Linked DNA regions of Coturnix japonica. The protein of the gene in region 1 purifies or fractionates together with the protein of each later gene. This does not show direct contact. Links are inferred from orthologs where the notes say so. Each region holds a gene or a part of one and is shown in the gene's direction. Other genes may lie near its edges.

Region 1 (3,825 bases):
ATAAATTACTGAATTTCTGTACTATGAATGTCTTTATGCTGTTTGTGTTCAATTCCAGAAGGAGAAGAGGAAGCCCATGTAGCAAAGAAGAAGGCACTGATTTCTGAGATCATTTCTCTGAGAGAACTGTGTGAAAGTATAGCAGCGAAGCATCCTCATCTACATTTCGAGTACAAGTAAGATCTCAGTGTCATTTTGAATTACATTTTCAGGTGCTGCTTGGTGCATTTAACACATGAATTATGAGACTATAAAAATTATTCCATTGAATCCTTGGCAGTTGTTTTTCTTGTACTGTCAGTGAATATTGATTCTCTTATCTGAGGCAAGTTAACAGGTTAGTAAAGTCAGGAAATTCTAGCTGAATTAGTAGGCATCAGTGAAGAGGACACAGTCATTCTTTAAATACAACCTTATCAATATAATGTGAATTTAGAAGTTCTGTAACATGGTGCTGCAATTCCTAAGTCAAGTTAATTAGCTGAAACTATAGCAGTCCAACAGACTAATCTGCAAAAACGTTAACAATTTTCAGTCCTGTCTGAGGTCTGTGAATAAATTTGCTCTGTGGAAGTGAAAGTTGTGTCTGTTTTTACAACATATATGTAATCTCATATGTGTTTTATTATGTAAAATCAACCAGAGCATATTCCCGTAATTGCGCTAATAACTGAGATCTGTGTGAACAAATCATACTAAACGCAGGAAGGACATTCCTCTGTTGGCTTTGTAACTGACTTCTTACTGGGAAGTCTCTTGCTTTGAAGTAGTTAAATTAATATTTTTTTGTTTATTTTGTCTAATAGAATTAGGGTTTCTTCTACCCTTGTAAATAATAGTAGTTTCTAATATAGTTTTTGAAGATGTCAGGAAGAGAACCAAACATGGTTGTCATAACTGATTTTGTTTTTCTAAGAAATCCAGAAAAAAATTGGAATCCCAGCTATGTGAAAGGCCTTGTTGTAACACTCATCACTGTGAAAGACATATCCACATCAAAAGCCCTAGAAGCAGTGGCTGGGGGAAAACTCTATCACATTGTGGTGGACACAGAGGTATGTGTGTCAATAAGCAAACGCGTGCTTAGTGTCTTAATGCCTAAGAGGTGATTTGGTCCCAGGTACCTACTTAATTTAAGTCAGCAAGTGTCATACATAGATACTGTTGATGAAATGATGCTACTGGAATGCCCTATTGTCTTAATATTTGAATATGCTCTGAAAGGTGGCTTTTCTCATTCTAGGCTACTGGCAGGAAGATTATAGAAAAGGGTCAACTAAAGCATCGTTACACCATCATTCCACTAAACAAAATTTCAGCCAAGTGTATTGGATATGAAATTATCTCACTGGCCAAAGAACTGGTATGTACATAAATACTGTGTTTTTATTGCATGCTTTTTTTTCCTTTTCAATTTTTTTAGCATAATGTAGCAGTCATACTATTTCTGTAGAGTTTGAGGGTTTCTTAATTTTTTTTCCCTCACTATCCTTGAACTATCCAGTATTCAGATAGATCTTAATTGTTTTGCTTTTACCTGAAATTATGATTTAAAATGTAAGAATGACTTAAAAATTATTTTTATCGAAATAAGATTCTTGTAACTTAAGACATACTAATTGCATTTCACTTTATTTCTAGATCGGTCATCTTGATGTGCATATAGCCATTTCGCTAATTGATTATAATATCGAACTACAGAAGGCCATGGAATTTGTCTTTGGCACAACACTGGTCTGTAGCAACATGGATAAAGCTAAGAAAGTGACCTTTGACAAAAGAATAATGAAAAAAAGTGTTACACTTCAAGGAGAAATATTCGACCCTCAGGGAACCCTAAGTGGAGGCAATTACTGTTTTGTATTCATATAATAATTGTGTTTTTGTTGATTTGTTTACTGCCCTGCATATTGTTAAAAATGGAAAGAGGCTTTTTTGTTGTTGTTGTTTAAACTCGTACTTGAGATAACATCATCTTTGAGAAAAGATTTGGTGGTTGTACACTGAAGTAAGACTACAGTTAGACTAGGAAAAAACCGATAAAATATTAGCATAATATAGTTTATGTATTAGATACATGTTTGGCTATTGAAACATCTTGGAGGAGGTTGGAAAGAGTGCTTTGAACTCAAACATTTTTTGGAATATTTCATAATTTATTTGAGGTAAATTCACACATGACAATATGTTAAGTTGGATGATTTCACTAAATTAATTTGTAGTCTCTCCATTGAGAATGATTGCTTAGCTGTTCTTCTGTTTTGCAATGAAAACAGATGATGAACTAAAACCTGCATCGTAGCCAGTATTTACAATTCATCACTTGCCAGAGTTGAATCTAATTCCAATCAGATTTAACTTTGTTCTTTTTTTCTCTGAACAGGTGCAAGCGCGCATGTTACATCTATATTGGTTAAACTTAAAACTATGAGAGAAGCTGAAGAAAAACTCAAAATAAAGAAGTCTCTACTTGAAGCTGTAGAGAGAGAGCTAGCAAACTTAAAGAATACAGCTGAAAAGTAAGGTTTGCGTAGTATAAATGTCTGTTATTTCTCTTATGTGACTATGTAACTGTTGGACAGATCGATATGATGGGAAAGATGTTACAACAAAGGTGTGAATCATAGGACCACAAGGTTGGGAAGGACCTACAAGATCATCTAGTCCAGCTGTGCTCCCATTCCCATTGCTACCACAAGCCTCTAAACCATATCTCCTAGCTCCTCATCCAGATGCCTCTTGGACACTGCCAGGGATGGCGACTCTACCACCTCCGTGGGCAGCTATTCCAGTGCCTGACCACTCCCTGAGAGAAAAAGTTTTTCCTTATGTCTAATCTAAACCTTCCCTGGTACAACTTGCAGCCGTTTCCTCAGGTCCTGTTTGTTGCCTGGGAGAAGAGGCCAAACCTCTCCTCACCACAACCTCCCCTTATGAAGTTGTAGGTGCAATGAGGTCTCCCTTGAGCCTCCTCTTCTCCAGGCTAAACAATCCCAGCTCCTTGAGCCACTTCTCATAAGTGTTGTGCTCTGGACCCCTCACCAGTTTCACTGACCTTCTGTGGACTGTCTTTTGTAGTGAGGGGCCCAAAACAACACAGTACTCAAGATGCAGCTTCACTAGCGCTGAGTACCTCTCTGCTCCTGCTGGCCACACTATCTCTAATGCAGGCCAGGATGCCGTTGGCTGTCTTGGCCACCTGGACACACTGTCGGCTCATGTTCAGCAGAGCATCAACCAACACCCCCAGGTCCACTTCCTCTTCACAGTCATCCAGCCACTCTGCCCCAAGCCTATAACACTGCATGGGGTTATTGTGGCCAAAGTTCAGGACCCAACACTTGGCTTTGTTGAACCTCAGCCCAGTGAACCAGCTTATCTAGATCCCTCTGAAAGGCCTCTCTACCCTCAGGCAGATCATAGGGAGGTCCTTCAGAGGGATCTGTCATCTGTGCAGTGACAGAAGGACCTGCATGGTAGAAAAGTGCTATAAAGGAGATCTATCAGAAGATAATAGGTTTGCAGGGAAAAGCTTCATCAAGGCAGAATCTCCAGAAAGTGCTCCTTCCCTAGTGATAGGGATAGTCAGCCCTTCAGGGAGGTCTAAGGGAGATGCAGCCAGGCTCCACCCCTTCCAGTCCCACAGGTGAATCGCTTTCATCTGTGCTCCCAGAGCTGACCAGGTCTTTTCCCCAGGTGCTCAATCAGTAGTTCAGGCTGGGACTCAACAGTTCCCATACACAGTATAAAGACAACTCACATAAACTAATTTTCTGGAGGAGAGGATAGGGCCTAAGGAAAATTAAATATTTAGAAAATAGCTAT
Region 2 (3,825 bases), on another chromosome or scaffold:
TAATCAGCCTTAGGTAATCAGAGCTGAGAGTCTGTTCATTTCTACATTATATTCTGCAGTACAGATCTAGCAAATACTCTTTCTACCCCGAAAATGTTTGGATTTGTCAAAGACATTCCAAGCCTTTTTTGGAAACCCTCCTCTGAAGTTCTGGTGATCAGGCAAGAGATCCAGCTTCAGCAAGCAACCTCTTGAGTGATATTCTTACAGTGAGTGAGCAGCTTGCATCTAAAACAATCTTGTCATCAGGAGCTTATTTTCTAGGAGACTACAGGTTGAGTCAAAGTATCTCTATCCTGAAAACCTACGTGCTTTTTTTGTTGTTGTTTAAAATGTTATTTTAAAAAATCAACTTTAAAAGATTTCAGCTCTTCAGATGTTAAAATGAATAATAATTTTATTTGATTGAACTCCTGAAGCGTGGACAACAGATACGTTATTTCTAAACAGTTTGTCACACTGGTCAGTTTCTGTACGTCGTATTTTGATGTGTTGTAACAACTTCTGGGGTATTTCTGTGTTAAATTTGTCAGTTGCAGATTGTAAGACGTGATGTTTTTCTACTTCCACCTCTAGTGAAATGAAATAAATGCTTAAATTGATATAATTGAATCATACTTTATCTCTTAAATTTTGCATGATGTCTGTATGTGTACGTCATTATAGTGCACCTTTTATTTCATAGGATGACCGCTGCATAACTCCATTGGTTATCCTGGCATCCTTTATGCCCCCTGCTGCTATTCCTACATTCAGGTACTATTTTTAAATCCAAAATGCGAGTGGCACTTGTTGACTTGTGTTAAATTTTTCACAAGCTGACATTTTAAATGCCCATTTTGATAGATTGGATAATTTGGGTAAACTTGTATAAAATAATCTGCTAAATAAATGTACCGAGTTGATAAAATCTGCATGGTATAAATATATCTCTGAGCCACCTGCGTGTCTCTTTTGGTGGTATATTACTTGATTATCTGTGAATAATTTCTACAATGATAAATATGAAGTTAACACATCTTTTTCCTTTTATCTTTTCAATCTAAGCTGTGGTGTGATCTCCAAACTCAGAAACATGGACAGTGGGGCTGACCAAAGCAAATACTCTACTCTGATAGACTGTATGTGTCGCTGGGGTCAAGTGAGCCATGTGTTGGAACTTGCCTGTGACTGGTTGTCAGACACGCTAACCCCAAAAAAGGTATGGAGACATCAAGGAATTGTTAGATTACATAACTGCGTTTTTCCTTTGTTGTGGGTTTTTTCTTTTTTCTTTAAGGAGCAGCTTCTCACATGCTGTATTTTCTTTCTTTGAAATTAACTGTAAAAATTGTAAAGTACTAACTGTACCTTACTAATGTTGTGCTTCCTTCTCCTTTAGAATGTTAAAACATCAGAACGGCGAGTACGTATCCACGTGACACATGAATCGAAGCCAGAATTAGCACTTGATTACATTGAATATTTATTGACTCATCCTGTTAATCGTAGTTACCTACTCTCTGTTCCTAAAAAGAAACTGAACCATCTTCTGAAAGTTCTCAGTGCTGCTAAGGTAGTGTTATCCTTACCACAAGCAATGCTTATAAAAGAGTGCATCATATTATAGATTGCCTTTCTCAAATTAAAGCTCTGGGAATACCTAAGTAGGCTTTGTTACAGCTTCTTCCCCTTCTACTTCAGACAGATGTTCTAAACTGGAAGTATATTATTAGTTCACAATTGTTTATCGGTGGCAAATTTTAATTGCTTTTTCACTTCTAGGTGCCTCTAATTTTTGTGATCCAGTGTTGAGTATTTGTAAGGAACCTGACTTTCAGAATGTAAGGAATAGTCTTGAAAATCAGTTCTAGCATTTCACAATTAAAATAATTGAAATCAGGCTTCTTAATTTTGCCTTTTTGTTTTTTTTTTTTTCCTTCTTATTTTAAAATCTTCTGTTTAAAAGTGTTGAGAAAAACACAACAAAACTTTTTTGAAAGATTTTTCTGGCAAATATAAATGTGAACTTTGATATTTCAGGAGATTCTTGGCTCAGTTCTGAAAACAATTGAAATGAATCGTGGTAGCTGCAATCAAGGAACTGGCTTAAGAGCCTTCAGCCTGTGTTGCAGGTTGAGTATTCATCTTCAAAACAAGGTATGTTTATACTTTATATTTCAGTATAAGCAGGAGTTAAAGCTGACAGTCTAAGGAAATTCCAAAAGAATTGGAATTCAAAAGTTTATAAACTTCTAATTTTGTTTTCCAGTTTTCGGAAGAAGGAAAAGATTATCTGTCACATCTGCAGGACATGGGAGCTTGGGTAGAAAGTCACATTTTACCTTTTCTACTCGCAAGTGAACAAGAGGATGGAATTTCAAAACAGAGTAATGTTCCTGAATTAATAATCCAGGTTAGAGGTCCCTTCTCACATAAATCAAACTACCTCCAGCCAAATAAGTGGTATATGTAAACTTCAGGTTTACAAACACTGTTATCCAAAATGTCCAGTGCATTATAGAGGATGATTTGGAAGCCCAGGAAGGTCATGTTATTGTAGAAGAGGTTTTAAATCTAATCGTGTTGGTTTGCTTTGCTTCCTTCTTTCCTTCCTGCTTTCCCAAAAGAAACAGGTAGAACTATATCCTGAGGAATTAATTCAGCATACTTAATTCTGGTACTGAGTACCAGGAAACATATCTATGGAAGTCAGCAGAGTGAGAGTGGGAGTTCCCTGGGAATTAATGAGGGAGTAGTGAGGAAGTGAGTCGTTCACTGACTTGGATTCGCACTGCTGCAGCCAAATGACTTTTAGAAGGCTCTAAAGAGGCATTAAGTAAGTGCTGTAGTTGTTCCTGGGACAGATTAATTGTGTGTTTAATAAGCTATTGTCTCTTTTCAAAATGAAATAATTGACATGCATGCTGCAGCTCTGGCTATTTGTCAAAAGATTGCGGTCATAGAATTCAATCTTACAGAAAGACAAGACACCAAATAAAGAATATGTACCAGAATTTCTAGAATGTGTTTGATCAATTTCCCAGGTCTGAACAGAAACCGAAAATGAATGTACTGATAAAAAATGAAATAGGTAGTTATCAACAACAGAACTGATATTCTGCATGATGAGTCAGTAATAATGTTCCTTGTTAGTAGGTACACAGAAGGCACGTGATTAGGTAATATATAAGCAAATTTTTAATTGTCTTCTGTTGTATTTCCCATATGTCTCACTTAACATAGTGCAGATTTTACCACTGAGCTGTGGGTCTTTTCAAATTCTAGTCAAGGGAAAGATTCGGACAAACTTTAATCACAGTCTGTGTCTTTGAATGGCCCAACTCATTGAAATGCTGGCTGATTAACAAAAGAGAATTAAATGATTCCTTGGATTTTATATTCTTATTGCTTCTCACTACTACTGAACTGTTGTTTTTTATAGTAATGTTTTTGTTCTGATTTATTTCTGCTTCTCTTTTCTAGGCCTATCTGTCAATCTGCAAAGATGTCATAATGGTTGGTCTTGGAAATGTCAAGTTTCAACTGCACTTTTTAGATATGGCACTTTCAGTAATACAAACAGGTACGAAATATAGTGCTAACATCAGCACCTTCACACACAATTAGGTGACATGTTTGTATATTGACAGAACTGTTGCTTTTTTGTTTTGTGGAATCTCTTTCTCAAAAAACAGTATTTATAGTTGATGCTAATATCATTCATATGGTGAGAAATAACAACAGCTTTTCAGCAAGTTGAAAACAAGCAGAGAAACTGTCCAGCATCTTATCATTGTTGGTGGCTGATGTTTTTTCCTTGCTGTTAAATTCCTGTTACATAAT

What was found.
Region 2: the proteins of SMC2 (region 1) and NCAPG2 purify together in Homo sapiens (affinity purification with western blotting; 4 studies listed by BioGRID and IntAct, with this or other methods). This does not show direct contact. The link is inferred for Coturnix japonica from reciprocal best matches to the Homo sapiens genes SMC2 and NCAPG2.

The regions. Positions count from the first base shown.
Region 1 is NC_029547.1:59,009,015-59,012,839, reverse strand, and holds part of SMC2 (structural maintenance of chromosomes protein 2), read left to right. Parts: intron 1-58; coding exon 59-176; intron 177-916; coding exon 917-1,055; intron 1,056-1,243; coding exon 1,244-1,363; intron 1,364-1,641; coding exon 1,642-1,846; intron 1,847-2,383; coding exon 2,384-2,519; intron 2,520-3,825. UniProt on the Homo sapiens protein: Central component of the condensin complex, a complex required for conversion of interphase chromatin into mitotic-like condense chromosomes.
Region 2 is NC_029517.1:8,484,575-8,488,399, reverse strand, and holds part of NCAPG2 (condensin-2 complex subunit G2), read left to right. Parts: intron 1-685; coding exon 686-756; intron 757-1,047; coding exon 1,048-1,201; intron 1,202-1,381; coding exon 1,382-1,555; intron 1,556-2,022; coding exon 2,023-2,139; intron 2,140-2,251; coding exon 2,252-2,395; intron 2,396-3,465; coding exon 3,466-3,565; intron 3,566-3,825. UniProt on the Homo sapiens protein: Regulatory subunit of the condensin-2 complex, a complex which establishes mitotic chromosome architecture and is involved in physical rigidity of the chromatid axis.